Linked DNA regions of Coturnix japonica. The protein of the gene in region 2 purifies or fractionates together with the protein of the main gene of each other region. This does not show direct contact. Links are inferred from orthologs where the notes say so. Each region holds a gene or a part of one and is shown on either strand. Other genes may lie near its edges. The genes, in order: HADHB and GPC1.

The links.
Region 1: the proteins of GPC1 (region 2) and HADHB purify together in Homo sapiens (co-immunoprecipitation; 3 studies listed by BioGRID and IntAct, counting the BioPlex papers as one, with this or other methods). This does not show direct contact. The link is inferred for Coturnix japonica from reciprocal best matches to the Homo sapiens genes GPC1 and HADHB.

What each region holds. Positions count from the first base shown.
Region 1 is NC_029518.1:95,818,460-95,825,588, reverse strand, and holds the start of HADHB (trifunctional enzyme subunit beta, mitochondrial), read right to left. Parts: upstream 4,501-7,129; 5' UTR 4,445-4,500; coding exon 4,393-4,444; intron 4,375-4,392; exon of another isoform or gene 4,339-4,374; intron 4,214-4,338; exon of another isoform or gene 4,170-4,213; intron 4,034-4,169; coding exon 3,959-4,033; intron 3,546-3,958; coding exon 3,504-3,545; intron 2,095-3,503; coding exon 1,995-2,094; intron 1,786-1,994; coding exon 1,741-1,785; intron 907-1,740; coding exon 807-906; intron 1-806. Other genes in the region: HADHA (trifunctional enzyme subunit alpha, mitochondrial), read left to right, coding at 5,407-5,494. UniProt on the Homo sapiens protein: Mitochondrial trifunctional enzyme catalyzes the last three of the four reactions of the mitochondrial beta-oxidation pathway.
Region 2 is NC_029524.1:617,054-623,502, forward strand, and holds part of GPC1 (glypican-1), read left to right. Parts: intron 1-2,678; coding exon 2,679-2,844; intron 2,845-6,101; coding exon 6,102-6,232; intron 6,233-6,449. UniProt on the Homo sapiens protein: Cell surface proteoglycan that bears heparan sulfate. Binds, via the heparan sulfate side chains, alpha-4 (V) collagen and participates in Schwann cell myelination.

The DNA.
Region 1 (7,129 bases), on a different chromosome or scaffold from region 2:
TCCTTTATAGACACTATTTGCAAACACGGCACATGAAAAGAATTATTGAGAACCCTCAGTACAAGGCACTGAGTTGCTTTAAACAGAACAGAAAACATTTCCTGCAGTTCAGAAAGCTGTGTCTCGTCTGACCCAACCTCCTAGCACAGAATTACTCACACCATGACCTTCCCTAGTTGAGACGTGGCCAACTAGTTTAAAGTTCAGCAGTTGCTCCAAGTTAAAATTAAACCACGGTCCCATCTGACTGGCAGGTGACCAAAGCAAGTATTTGCATATACAAGGATAAAACTGCTGGTGGAACACAGAGCCTCACAATCTCATCAGTGTTTCCAGTACGTGTTATGTAATGGCTTAGCCTGGTTGCAGAGAATAACTGAAAATCACATGCCACCTCCATAATTTCCCTTCAGTGGATCAATTTCTCTCTGTGTCTAATATGCAAACAGCATTTTTTGCTTGCCAGAAAAACAGACGAGCAACTAAGCTGCTCCGTTTCAATTCATTTAAATACTAAAACAAATACAAAGCAATGTATCACAGCATGCTCTGCTCCTCTCAAGTACTTCTGACAAGCCAGCAATTGAATCCAACTGGTCATTTCAGTGAAGAATCGAGCAGAGGCTTCACAGCATCAGAATGCATTTGATCTATGGCAGATTCCCATGCAGTTATTGGATAAGACAACACTGCACAAATAGCCTATACTGCAAACACACTGTTCCAGAACTTTCTGTAAGGGGTTTATCTTCTTCTTACTAGCTGCTGAAATCTAACTTATAGGAGATAAGCTGTACATCACCCACCTCTCTGGCAACATTGCTTGTTTTCACTTCCTGGATAACTGTGCCATACACAATGTAATCAACAACATCCTTTGGGACACTGGTCCTGTTCAGTAAGCCCCTAAGGAGAAGACAGAAACAAGTAGAATTTGCAGCATGTGAGCAATGACTTTGCCTCTGCCATCAAGGTCCTACCTTCCACTAGCTTGTCTGAAGAACAAGGCAACAGTGGAGCTACACCTACTGCACAAATTCATATGAAATCTTGCTTGTATGTGTACTTAATGACAAGTGCAATTGACTGCAAAAAAATCATAGCAATAACACTACTATAAATAGCCATAGAATGTGTTGGAAAGGACCACAATGATCATCCAGTTCCAACCCCCTGCTGTGTGCAGGGTCACCAACCAGCAGCCCAGGCAGCCCAGAGCCACATCCAGCCTGGCCTTGAATGCCTGCAGGGATGGGGCATCCACAGCCTCCTTGGGCAACCTGTTCCAGTGAGTCACCACCCTCTGGGTGAAAAACTTCCTCTTAAGATCCAACCTAAACCTCCCATCTCAGTTTAAAACCATTCTCCCTTGTCCTATCAGAATCCACCCTCATAAACAGAAGTTAAATGGTGACATAACTTCATGAAAGCAGTTCCCATTTCACTCCAGAAGTGGTTGTTATATTCCCCAATTTGACTCTTCCAGCATCAAATTAATGGAAGAATGCCTTAAGAGATAACAAACCTTTGGTGTAGGAACATGAAAGCTCCCATAAAGAGACATAGAAAACGAGCAGTCTGTTTCCACAGTTCATTAAGAAAACACTGCATAACTTGTCCAAACATTGTGGCAAATATACCAACACAGGAAACCCCATTGTAGGCAGTGGTTAAGAATAGTGGGATTCATAGTTTAATGCACTACAAGGACCAAATGAAAAGGAAATTCAGTTTACTTACTGCAGTGCTGCTCGGGCTAAGTCATGGGGCATAAGATCTGCGTAGCTGGAAGTCAAAAAAGAAAGGCAAAAATTTAAGTGACAGAAAGCCATAGAAAATGACTTCACCCAAACACCATAAGCAGACATCAGCTGCACAATATAGCACTAGAGGCATTAAAGAAATAACTACATGAACAAGCAAGCCCATTCTTTCCCCACAGAAAGATTCCACCACCAACCACGTGAGCATGTGTTTCCTCATGCTATACTTACGAGGTGCCAGACTGCAAGAACGGAATACGGACGCCCTCCACCACAACAATATTCTTCACACCACTTTTGGCTAAGGTCTTCTTGCTCTTAGGCTGAACAGCTGAAAGGGAAGCATACTTAACTATTAACAAGCAAGCTTAGAGCTGTTAGAACTAGGAGAAAACTAGGGAAGATGTTCTCTTTTGGTGCGTAAGTCAATAGCGTTGCAGGGAGAACACCCATGTTGTTATCTTGTCTCTGGTTAATCAGGTGATGTATAAAAACAGTTTAACAACTCACTATTTCCCCTATTAACACAGAGATTTGTAGTGCTGAGGCAACAGCACTGCTGAGAATAATGCTTGCAGCTCCTAGTCTCCATGAACACTGGTGAGAGCAGGAGCAGATGCAACTAAAAATGGTGCACAGCTTACAGTAATGAAGTAGGACAAATTGAAAGCCCTGCAGCCAGAGTTAAACCTCACACAGTGTTAGATCTCACAGTCTCTCTATAAGAAACAGCTGACGATCCACCTTGCAAAGTAACTACTTATATCTGTGCTCTCACTGCACAGTAAAGGTGAGATAACTCATGATAAATCAATATACAGTTCAATAAACAACTAACTTGCACAAAGCAGAGCAGGAGAAAAGATGTATATGGTTGCTGCAGGTAACTTGTTACTTTAAGGTATCCAATTATTTCAGGATCAAGATAAAGCAGTGTCACAATACAGCACCATTCAACAAGCCACCAGAGCTCTTTTGGAATGAGAATAAACAGAGTTAACAAGAATTCCCTAACCTACTCAGACGCGCAAATCATAATGAGCATATACAGCAGCATGGGGTAACTCCATTTGCAAACCATGAAAGGACAAAACCAGATTAAATCTGGCTATATAGCATGCTGAGTAAACACGCAGGTATGCAACTCCAGCATGTTCATGTGTTGTTTGTTCTACAAGGCTCTCTGTGCAAAACCAAGGGGGTAAAGGGAAGTTACCACTTAGGTTCTCTTCCCAAATCCAGGCAGCTCAAAGCATTAGTCACTTGAGAAAGCACACAATCAATATTAGAGCCCTACAGTACCCAACTGCTCTGTGAGAACCACAGCTAATAATCCCTGTAACAGTGTGCTCTCAACAGCTCTGCTGGGACCTGAGTCTCACTGGACTTCAGAGCTAACTCCACAATCTCCTCCTAGTCGAGGACAATTCCCTCTTCTCCAGGGAAAAAGGCCTGATTATATCCAGTTTGTAACTTCCTAGCTTAGCTTCTCAGCCTAGAAAATCAGGTGAGGATGTGCTGTGAGCTCTAGGATGGGTACAGCATTTGGGGTTGAGAGGCATTAAGGTGTTTGTAGCATTCCACCACGGTGCTTTGCTTGGAGTTTTATTTCTTTGCAATTTTAGATGGGCACCTGTGATTTACAGCTGTCTGCACTGCGTATCTGAGATCTGTGCTTCAAAAAGGGTAGCACAGCCTTCTAGCACAGATCCAATGGGATCTCTGGTATTTTCACTTTACCTGGAGCTTGTAACTGTGAAGAGCAGCTGAGAGATCGAGCAACTGGAAAACAAAAGAAGGAGGAAAAGGATCAGCCAAATCTTAAGTGCCAAAAACATTTCTGCTTTCTGAACGTAACAGAATCACAGAATGACCCGGGTTGGAAGGGACCTCAAGGATTGGGCAATGTAGTTCCAACCCCCCTGCCTGGCAGGGCCACCAAACATACACCTTTACTAGATCAGGTTGCCCAGGAGACCCCATAGATCCCCATAGAGACCCCATAGATCAGGTTGCCCAGGGCCCCGTCCAACCTGGTCTTGAACACCTCCAAGAACGGGGCATCCACAACCTCCCTGTGCAGCCTGTTCCAGGGCCTAACCACTCTCCTAGTGAAGAACTTCCCCCTAACATCCAACCTAAACACAGGTAACAACCTGACACGTCAAGGTTCTGATAAATGTAAACATACTTACAGACCCTGATGGCCCATGCTGAAGAAGCAGGGAGGTTTCGGACGGTATGGCTCAGCATAGAAGTCATTTTGATATCTAGAAGTGGAAAAAGGTTGTTAATAATCCACTCTGACCTATCTGGATTAATTTCAAGGGAAATAACCTGCTCGCTTCACACAAGAGCCAAAGAAAGGGAAGAAACAGAAGCTGATCCAAGAGCAGCAGAGATTACTTTCTGTTACAGCATCTAACAGATGAAGTGACTGGCTTGTGACTGCGGCCTGCTAATACCCCTGTAAATTAACACTTATCTCCAGGAGGACCCAGCTCTGATCTGTCAGCAGCTGGTAGTTTTAGCTTCCCCCCTCAATAACTATCCCACCACTTCCCCCTTGAAATACCGTCCCGGAGCCCAGCCAACGTCACCACCAGTGTGATCCTCCTGACGCACTCACCTTGGCACCATTTCACACCACGGCCTTTAACTTTAACCCCAATAACCCTCATTGGGCATCCACACAATAAGCAGAATATCCCACTCAGCGCTTCTCTTTAAAGGTCCCTTCCAATTTAAAAGGTTCTATGACTCTCTCTGGCTATAGCAGCATCCTACAAACCAATATCAAGCTCCTCACACAGATAAAGACCCCATAAACCAAACCTCCTCCCTTCTCTATCCTATCTATCTCTTGTCTCTATCTATCTTCTCTCTCCCTCTCTGCCTCCCCTCTCTTCCCTCATACCTCTGCCGATATCCCAGAGCAGTTCTCACATACCCAACCCAACGCAAGCACAGCACCCATGGATTTCATTGCCTCAAACGCATAAAAACCTTATTTTATTCTTTTTTTTCCCTTTTTTCCCTCCCAGGAACCCTCAGGGACCCCAATAAAACACCTCAATGCCCATAGAGACCCAGAACCTGCTTTGCTTGCATAGCAGCCCCTACACCCCCATATATACACACATATAACACCACACACATCACTTCCTTACCCCTCCTAGGCCTCACCCCCAAATAACCCCCCCCCCAAAATGCCCATAAAAGCCAACTAATCCCAATCCCCCCCACATTCCACGCTGTTTAACCCACACAAGCCCCTATTTCCCCACATAAACCATTATTTCCCCCATTAAATCGCAATTTTCCCTCATAAACCCAACAATCTCCCACCTCCTCCTGCGCACCCCCGTCCTCTCAGCGCCGCCGCCTGCCCTCATGAAGGCCCCCACCCCGCCTCCAGGGCTGCCTCACCCACACCCCCTTTCATCCTTTTCCTCCGCTAGACTGATATCACCTTTACATTATCACCTACAGCCACTAAAGCTTTATGGATAATATGAAATAGAGAGGGAATCAAAACCAAATCGTGCTCGGAGACAGGCACTAGTGTAGACAGCCTCAAGGGCGGATCGAAGCCCCCCCTCCCTTGGCGGCCTCTCCCTCATTCGACCTCGCGCGCAACAAGATGGCGGCCGCAGTGCGCGCTATGGGCAGCTTGGGGCGCTTCGCGGCCGCTACCAAGTATTACCCGCCTCGTCGACAGGGAGCTGAGGGTGAGATATGGGTGGGGGGGAGCCTGGTGTGGTAATGGGGTCGGTGAGGTGGGGGGCAGTGCTGAAATGACGGGTGGGTGGATGTGGGGGGGGTGTGGAGGGCTTATAAGGGGGTTTGTGAAGGGGCTGTAGGTGTATTCATATATAAAGGTGTTAATAAAGGGGGTTTGTGAGGGGTAAAGGGTCGTAGGGATGGTGTTGTGAAGGAGCTGTGGGTGTATCCACGTATAAAGGTGTCAATAGAGGGGGTATATGTGGGGTAAAGGGTCGTAGGGATGGTGTTGTGAAGGGGCTGTAGGTGTATCCATATATAAAGGTGTTATTGAAGGGGGTTTGTGAGGGGTAAAGGGTCATAAGGATGGTGTTGTGAAGGGACTGTAGGTGTATCCCTATATAAAGGTGTCATTGGAGGGGGTTTGTGAAGGGTAAAGTGACATAGGGATGATGTTGTGAAGCCTGTAGGTTATATATAAACGTGTTAATGGTGGGGGGTTTGTGAGGGGTAAAGGGTTGTAGGGATGGTGTTGTGAAGGGGCTGTAGGTGTATTTGTATATAAAGGTGTTAATAAAGGGGGTTTGTGAGGGGTAAAGGGTTGTAGGGATGGTGTTGTGAAGAGGCTGTAGGTGTATCCATATATAAAGGTGTCATTGGAGGGGGTTTGTGAAGGGTAAAGGGTTTTAGGGATGCTGTTGTGAAGGGGCTGTAGGTGTATCCATATCTAAAGGTGTTAATGGTGGGGGGTTTGTGAGGGGTAAGGGGTCGTAGGGATGGTGTTGTGAAGGGGCTGTAGGTGTATTCACATATAAAGGTGTTAATGGAGGGGGTTTATGTGGGGTAAAGGGTCGTAGGGATGGTGTTGTGAAGGGGCTGTAGGTGTATCCATATACAAAGGTGTTAATGGAGGGGGTTTGTGAGGGGTAAAGTGTTGTAAGGATGGTGTTGTGAAGGGGCTGTAAGTGTATCCACATATAAAGGGGGTTTATGTGGGGTAAAGGGTCGTAGGGATGGTGTTGTGAAGGGGCTGTAGTTGTATCCGCATATAAAGGTGTCAATGGAGGGGGTTTGTGAAGGGTAAAGGGTTGTAGGGATGGTGTTATGAAGGGGCTGTAGGTGTATCCATATATAAAGGTGTTAATAAAGGGGGGTTTGTGAGGGGTAAAGGGTCGTAGGGATGGTGTTGTGAAGGGGCTATAGGTGTATCCATATATAAAGGTGTTAATAAAGGGGGGTTTGTGAGGGGTAAAGGGTCGTAGAAATGGTGTTGTGATGGGGCTGTAGGTGTATCCATATATAAAGGTGTCATTGGAGGGGGTTTGTGAAAGGTAAAGTGCCATAGGGATGGTGTTGTGAAGCCTGTAGGTATATCCATATATAAACGTGTTAATGGTGGGGGGTTTGTGAGGGGTAAAGGGTCGTAGGGATGGTGTTGTGAAGGAGCTGTAGGTGTATCCACATATAAAGGTGTCATTGGAGGGGGTTTATGTGGGGTAAAGGGTAGTAGGGGTGGTGTTATGAAGGGGCTGTAGGTGTATTCATGTATAAAGGTGTCATTGGAGGGGGTTTGTGAAGGGTAAAGGGTCATAAGGATGGTGTTGTGAAGGGACTGTAGTTGTATCCGTTTATAAAGGTGTCAA
Region 2 (6,449 bases):
CCTGGGGGCATGAAGCACAGATGGCTCACAGCAGCCTGGGGATGAGCGTGCAAGAGAAGTAGGGATATGAACAGAGCATGGAGAGCTCCACTTGCTCTATTGGTGTTAAATGCTTTTCAGATGCACTTAAAGGCCCCTGAAGGCAGAGGAGCCCCATCACATTGCAGCTAGGCTGCAGGTTCTCATTTGCTTTCAAGCAAGGCTTCAAAAGGATAAAGGATTTGGGTGGAGTGTTTTTTTGTTTTTTTCCTTTCCCTTGATCTAAGCCAACATTTCAAAAGCAGCATCTGCAGTTTGGCTGCAGGGTGTGGGTGCTGAGCAGCCAAGGACCTCCAAGTGGGCTCACACAGCTGTGCTGTGGGGATGGACTTGCTGCACATAAACTGCCCCATAGCAGTTTGGTGCTGCTTTGCCGGATGCCTGTGGCTTCCTACAGCTCAGCCTTCCTTCAGAGCTGAGACACTGAGAAGGGGAGGGGGGCTGTTGTTTCATCAGAGAAACCCTCAACCCCCTGGATGTGATGATGCAGAGCTTGTTGCAGTACTGGTGCCTTTTTGTCACTAGTCCCCATAACCATGGTTTTTACATCCCAAACTTTTAGTTATTTGGTCTTTCCAGCCAATTCTGTCAGAAGTAATTGGCTTGCCCTATGGAGACTGGGGCCCCCGCCATGTCTACACTCAGGTGCCTTCAGTCCCCAAGTGTCCAGCCAGGACATCCTTGTGTGCCTGAGTTGCTTTTCCCATTCCACGAGCAGCTCTGCCTCCCCTGTGTCTTCATTTCAGAAGTTCATTCTGAACTCACGTTTTAGGCAGTGGGATGGCTTTGTTCTCCCCGCACATCTCAGTGCAGGCAGTCAGAATGGGTGACTGTTTGTCCCTCAACACCTGCATTTCTGTGGCTCTCTGTTTTGGAAGTGTATTAATAAGCTGCTTGGCAGGAGACTTCTTGGTTAGAAGCCTCGTAGGCTGAATGTTTTCTAAATTGTCTGGGGTGGTTGCAAGGAACCCAGCTTGGGACTAATCCCCAGCCTATCCTCTCAGCAGATCGCTTGCAAAAGTCATTAATTTTACTGTAATTGATTTAAACATTGCTCAGGAGGGGGAAAATTGAGGGAAACAAACGCCAGTTTGAAAGCCGAGAACTACGTGTGTTCTCAGCTCTCTCTCGTATTATCTCCACGTGCGCTCATTCCCTGCTGGCCCCTCTGCAGCCGCCAGTACCGCACAGTACACAGTGAGTCCCAGCACTGCGCTGCGGTGCCCCAATCCCTGCGGACCCACAAGCTCCCCTCCTGCTCCAGACATTCACACAGGAGGCTGTTTTCTGCTCTGCCTCCAGCAATTGGCAGCTGGCTGGGTGGCTTCATCAGCCGTGCATGGGCACATCGGGCTTTGGAAAGCAGCCATGGAAAAGCACAGAGCTCTGCTGTTGATGCACAGCGCAGTCACGGGGTAATACCTGATGACAGCCTCCTTGCAGTGTCGGTGCCGGTGGTGGCGCGGGGCTTTGTGTGCTGCAGCCACCTGTTCCCGTTACGTTACCTCATTGCAACTCCAATCAGCCACTGTATCTCCAGCTGTAAAGTAGCTTTAATTAAAATGATTCATTGCTCAAGACCGAATCATCCCCCATTTGGGGTATTTTTTAGAAGGTAACATTTTTTCTATATCACTTTGTCACTGGGTTTGCACTTTCAGGGGCTGCTCCCACTGATGTTGCTGGGATCAGAACAGAGCATGCAGATTTTAACTGAGCAGTGACATAGAAATCATGTATTTTTAGGTTGAGCGTGGCTTTGTTTGGCATGCTTATTTGTACCTCTGGCAGCTGAATGAGGAGTGTCCTGGCTCCGAGCCATATCACTCAGTAACTTTCTTTTTTTGGGTCCCGGGTAAACGGCTTCTCCGATGTATCATGCATTTCTTCTTGACATCTTTATGCAATTTCTATGTCACTGAGCTAAGGCAGGACTATAGGTGCCATTAAAGCTAAAGGAGAACATGTCAACATAGGGAATCAAGGTCATTGCACAGACGATGCAGCTGAAAATTGCATCTTTGTAAGGTGAGCTCCAGTACCCGTGTTCCAGTCTGTGCCATGTTTGGTAAGCGTGAAGTGTTCACTTCAGCAAGGACTGAAGGACACCCACTGGGCAGGGCTGTGTGTGGCCGTGTCTGAGGGATTTGCTGTCTCAAGGCCAGAAGTGAATCTTTATATTGAGCATTTCTTTGTCCCACAGAAGAAATGTACAAGAACATATTCAAGGTGTTTTTCACAACCAGTAAAGAGATGAGGGGCAGCTTTCAGGGCTGCAGCATGAGGGTCAAGCATTCGGACCTCCCAGTTTGTTCCCCCCTGGGGGAGTAACAGCTCCTTGTCCCTAAGCAAGGCTGGCATGCAGACACTTGATAATTTCTTTTTGTAAATGATTTTAAAAGAATGATTAGAGAATTGGAACTGGGTGCAAGCAAAGATAGGGGAAGCTCTTAGTGATAAGACAGGGGAGCAGCGAGCTCCATCAGCACCTCCACGGGGCCTATTGGATGTGTTACAGGGACCTCTGTGCTGCAGAGGCTGGGGCCTTGCTGGGAGCCCTGGGTTCTGCCTCATGGGATGGTTTGGTTTAAGTTGACACACCGCCTGCCCATGTTTCTGACTCTGCTCCGTCTCCCCAGGTGTCCCTCAGCCACGAGTGCACCCGTGCTGTCATGAAGCTGATGTACTGCCCGCACTGCCGGGGCATGGCCAGCGTGAAGCCATGCAGCAACTACTGCCTGAACGTGGTCAAGGGCTGCCTGGCCAACCAAGCTGACCTGAACACCGAGTGGAAGTATCTGATGGGTAAGGTGGCCTCACTCCTCACTGCCCCGTGGCACCTTTTCAGACTCTTTGAGGCCTTTGGAGAGTACAGAAGGGGCCCCTGGAAGAGCTGAAGGAGCCTCTTTTACACCACTGTTTCTCTGCCTGTGATCTGAACACTAAATCTAAATATATTGCAGGATGTTTTTCTGGGCTTTAATACCATTTGGGTCATCTGTCTTCTCCCAAAGGCTGAGGCTTAGGGACAGGTTCTGCTTCCTCATCTACGCCATGGCATATGTGAGCACATGGGAATCCCTGGCAGCCCTCCCTGGGATGTGATCTAGAAACATGAAGCTGTAATCTTTTTCCGTGGGTGAGAGCAAAGGGATCAGAATTGCTCACTTCTGAATGGAAAGTAAATACATGGGAGGGAGAAGTTGCAGCCTACATGAGGAATGGGAAAATTAGACTTGTATTTTAAGTGAGAAAAGAGCTCTTTTGTTTTTTCACTCAGCTAAGACAGTGGGTACTTCTTGAAGTGAGCTGTGTGTGTGTTAAGGTATCCATTTCCTTGACGTGGTCTGATACCCTCTGCAACGCAGAGCAGAGACCTTCTATAGTGTGACAGCATTACAGCACAGCCTCTCTCCTACTGCAGTCTGCTGGGGGAGGCTGCTCATGTTAGGAAAGCTCTCACTCCTCTTTGTATACCCAGGTTGTACATTTAGGTTGGAGTGCTAACATCAAAAACCCCACTGCAGTGTAACCTCCATCTCAGGGGATGCTGCCAAATAAGGATACTACTGCTGCATTCAGGCCGGTGTTCTGTGGGTGCATTGGCCAGCTGCCTGCCTCTTGCCAGGAGCTAACGAACCGAGTGGCAGTGTGCTGTGGCTAATTGGATGTACTTCCCATCGGCGGCCTGCTACGGAAGAGGGGGAGGAATCAAGAGGGGGAGGAATATTCCCTTCCCCAAGGGTTTACACCGGGGTTTTGATGAAGCTTTGTCCTCTCTGAGCACAGGAAGCCAACTGTTAGCTGTCACTGCTCCCCTGACCAGGGTGACTGTCCGGCTTCTGAAAGGTCAGCACACCGCTCTCACAACTTGACAGGACTGCATTCTGCAGTTATTGAGAGCTCCTCTTGGCCAAGAGACACTGGTCTTGTCAGGAGGTGTTGGCTGGGAGGAAACTGTAGCTTCCTTTAAATTGTGGCTGTATGTTTTACTGCCAGAGGTCATCATTTGATCAAGGACTGGAGCAAAACATGCAGGAAAAGGCAGAATTTCCTTGGCATTGCCCGTGTTTTACCTTTAGGCCCTTCCATGTAGCTGGAAAGGACTTGGTGACAACAGCGTTTCTCTTTCAGCTGGACAAATTAGGACAGGTCAAACAAAAGATATCTATAGAAAGTAATCAAATATAATTTATCACTAATTTGGGGATGCAGCCTTTGATTTAAATATCTATCACAGCATTAGTGGATCCGCAGACTGTAATTGCCTGAAAATAGAGTCTTGTAGATGACACTGCAACCCCTCTGTGGCAGCAAAGTTGAACTGCAAGCTCTGTGATGTTACAGGAGATGCTATTTCACAGAACACGAAAACATAACAACTCACATGGCATGTTTAGCTTTAGGTGTGACTGTGCATGCTGTTAAATCCTATATGACAGAGCAGAGCACAGACTGTGCCCTGCATGGGCATGATCTGGTATCTTCTGTGGATTTGTGCTATCCCTTCTGTAGTACTTGCCCAGGATGCTCATTCAGTGGGAGCAGTCAGGACCTGAACATTAGCCATGCAGTATCAAAGAGAACATATTTTTGAGGGCTGTGCATGCTGTTACATTGACAGCAGTGGACTCAGGATCAGGCCATCCTTGTTAACATTGTGCTTCCACTGTGGACCTACTGCCTCTGCACAGTGTCTGCAGGACCTCATGGAAGGCATCTGGGGCCTTTCTGCCAACTCCTACTGCTTTGCACAGACAAGGGACTGAATACACGTTTGAAGTGATGTTGGTCCCCATTTGTGCCCTGGCTGGGTGGACCCCTGCTCACAGGAAATCCTATTGTGCAGCTGAGTGGCACTGCGTGCTATGGGATGGTGTAGAATGGTGTGTTCTACTGATGCCCTGCTGAACTGCTGGGCACAGCTCACCTGGTGGTTTCCTTGCTCATGAATATCAGCACAACGAACATGTGCAGAATAAGCTTTCTGCAGCATCACACCATCTGCTGTGACAGTCTCCTGCCAGACTGATGGGGAAGGTATTAGGATCTAGGATAGAAAATTAATCTCTGCTAAAGAATGAGTTCTTCAGCCTGGACCCTGGGATTTGACCCCCTTTGTGCAGAGAAGGAAAATCAACATCACAGGTGTTTTCTTCCATATGGAGAAGCCGCAGGAACATGAGGTACTTTCTGTTCTATATGAGCGAGAGCCACCCCTGCTCTCTGCTACATCTCTTCCCCTGCCAGGAAGCATTTGGTGTGTCCTGCGGAATGCAAGACCACACGGGAGTCATCTGAGGTCACAAGGAGCTGCCAAGTCCCTAAATCCTCATGGTCTGGCCTTCAGGCTGCTTGGAACAGAGATGGTAGAAAACTGAGGCGGCAGCAGCTCTGCAGCGGCTATTTTGACTGACAAAGCCAGCCCTGGTTACAAACCTAATTTAGGTGTCTGAGACCTGTCCAAAGCTCCTGCTTAACTCTGGCTGGAGATCAGCCAAGGAGATCAGCTTTCCTACGTGTGGCATTCCCCAGTGCCCCATGACCTGTGTGCACACAGTCTGTCTTTCCTTCAGACCCACAGAGCACTGAAAATCTTCTCCATAGGCAGAGGCTGGTTATAGTCCCAAAACACAGTCCCAAAACAGCCATGGTGGCGGGCACCTCCAGGTCAGGCAGGAGCACTTGGAGAGCAGAGCTTTACAAGATAGGAGGAGCTGAGAGCAATAGGCATGTCCTCAGTCACACTCAGTCCCACTGATCAGTTTAGTTGTGGGCTTCACAGTCTGCTCTTTTGCCCTTAGTACATGATATTTCCTTTTTCTTGCTCTTTCGCTGCCTCAGAAGCTGTTGCTCCCATCCAGTACCTTTGGCACCACATCCACCCTTTAGACAGCTGTGCCATTCTGGAGGATAATGAGCATAGGTTTAAAAAGCAGTGAAAATGGAGAGATATCCTCCAGCAGATCTTCCAAGAGGCCAACCCTGTAGTGCACCCAGCATGAGCATGAGCTTTAACATGGTTTGTCTGATGAAGGGATGTCTCTGTGTTATTTTACCAGATGCGCTGGTTGCTGTGGCTGATCGGATTGATGGACCATACAATGTAGACACAGTAATAGGGACTATTCACATGAGGATCTCTGAAGCTATTTCTAACTTGCAAGAAAACAAAGTTTCAATCACAGCCAAGGTAAGAGCGTGTGCCTGGGCCTGGCCTAGGGTACACCATGTGTAATTGCCTGGATCAAATGGTTTTTGTTCTCACTGCTGAATTGAATAAAGGGTAGGAAAGAAGAAGGAGAGATGATGCACACTCTTTTGATGATAGGAAAGTACTGTCTTAGGCAGACAACAACCTTCTGAGGTATTTCCAAATGCTTCTCTCTGCCACAGTCAGCTTTCCTTAG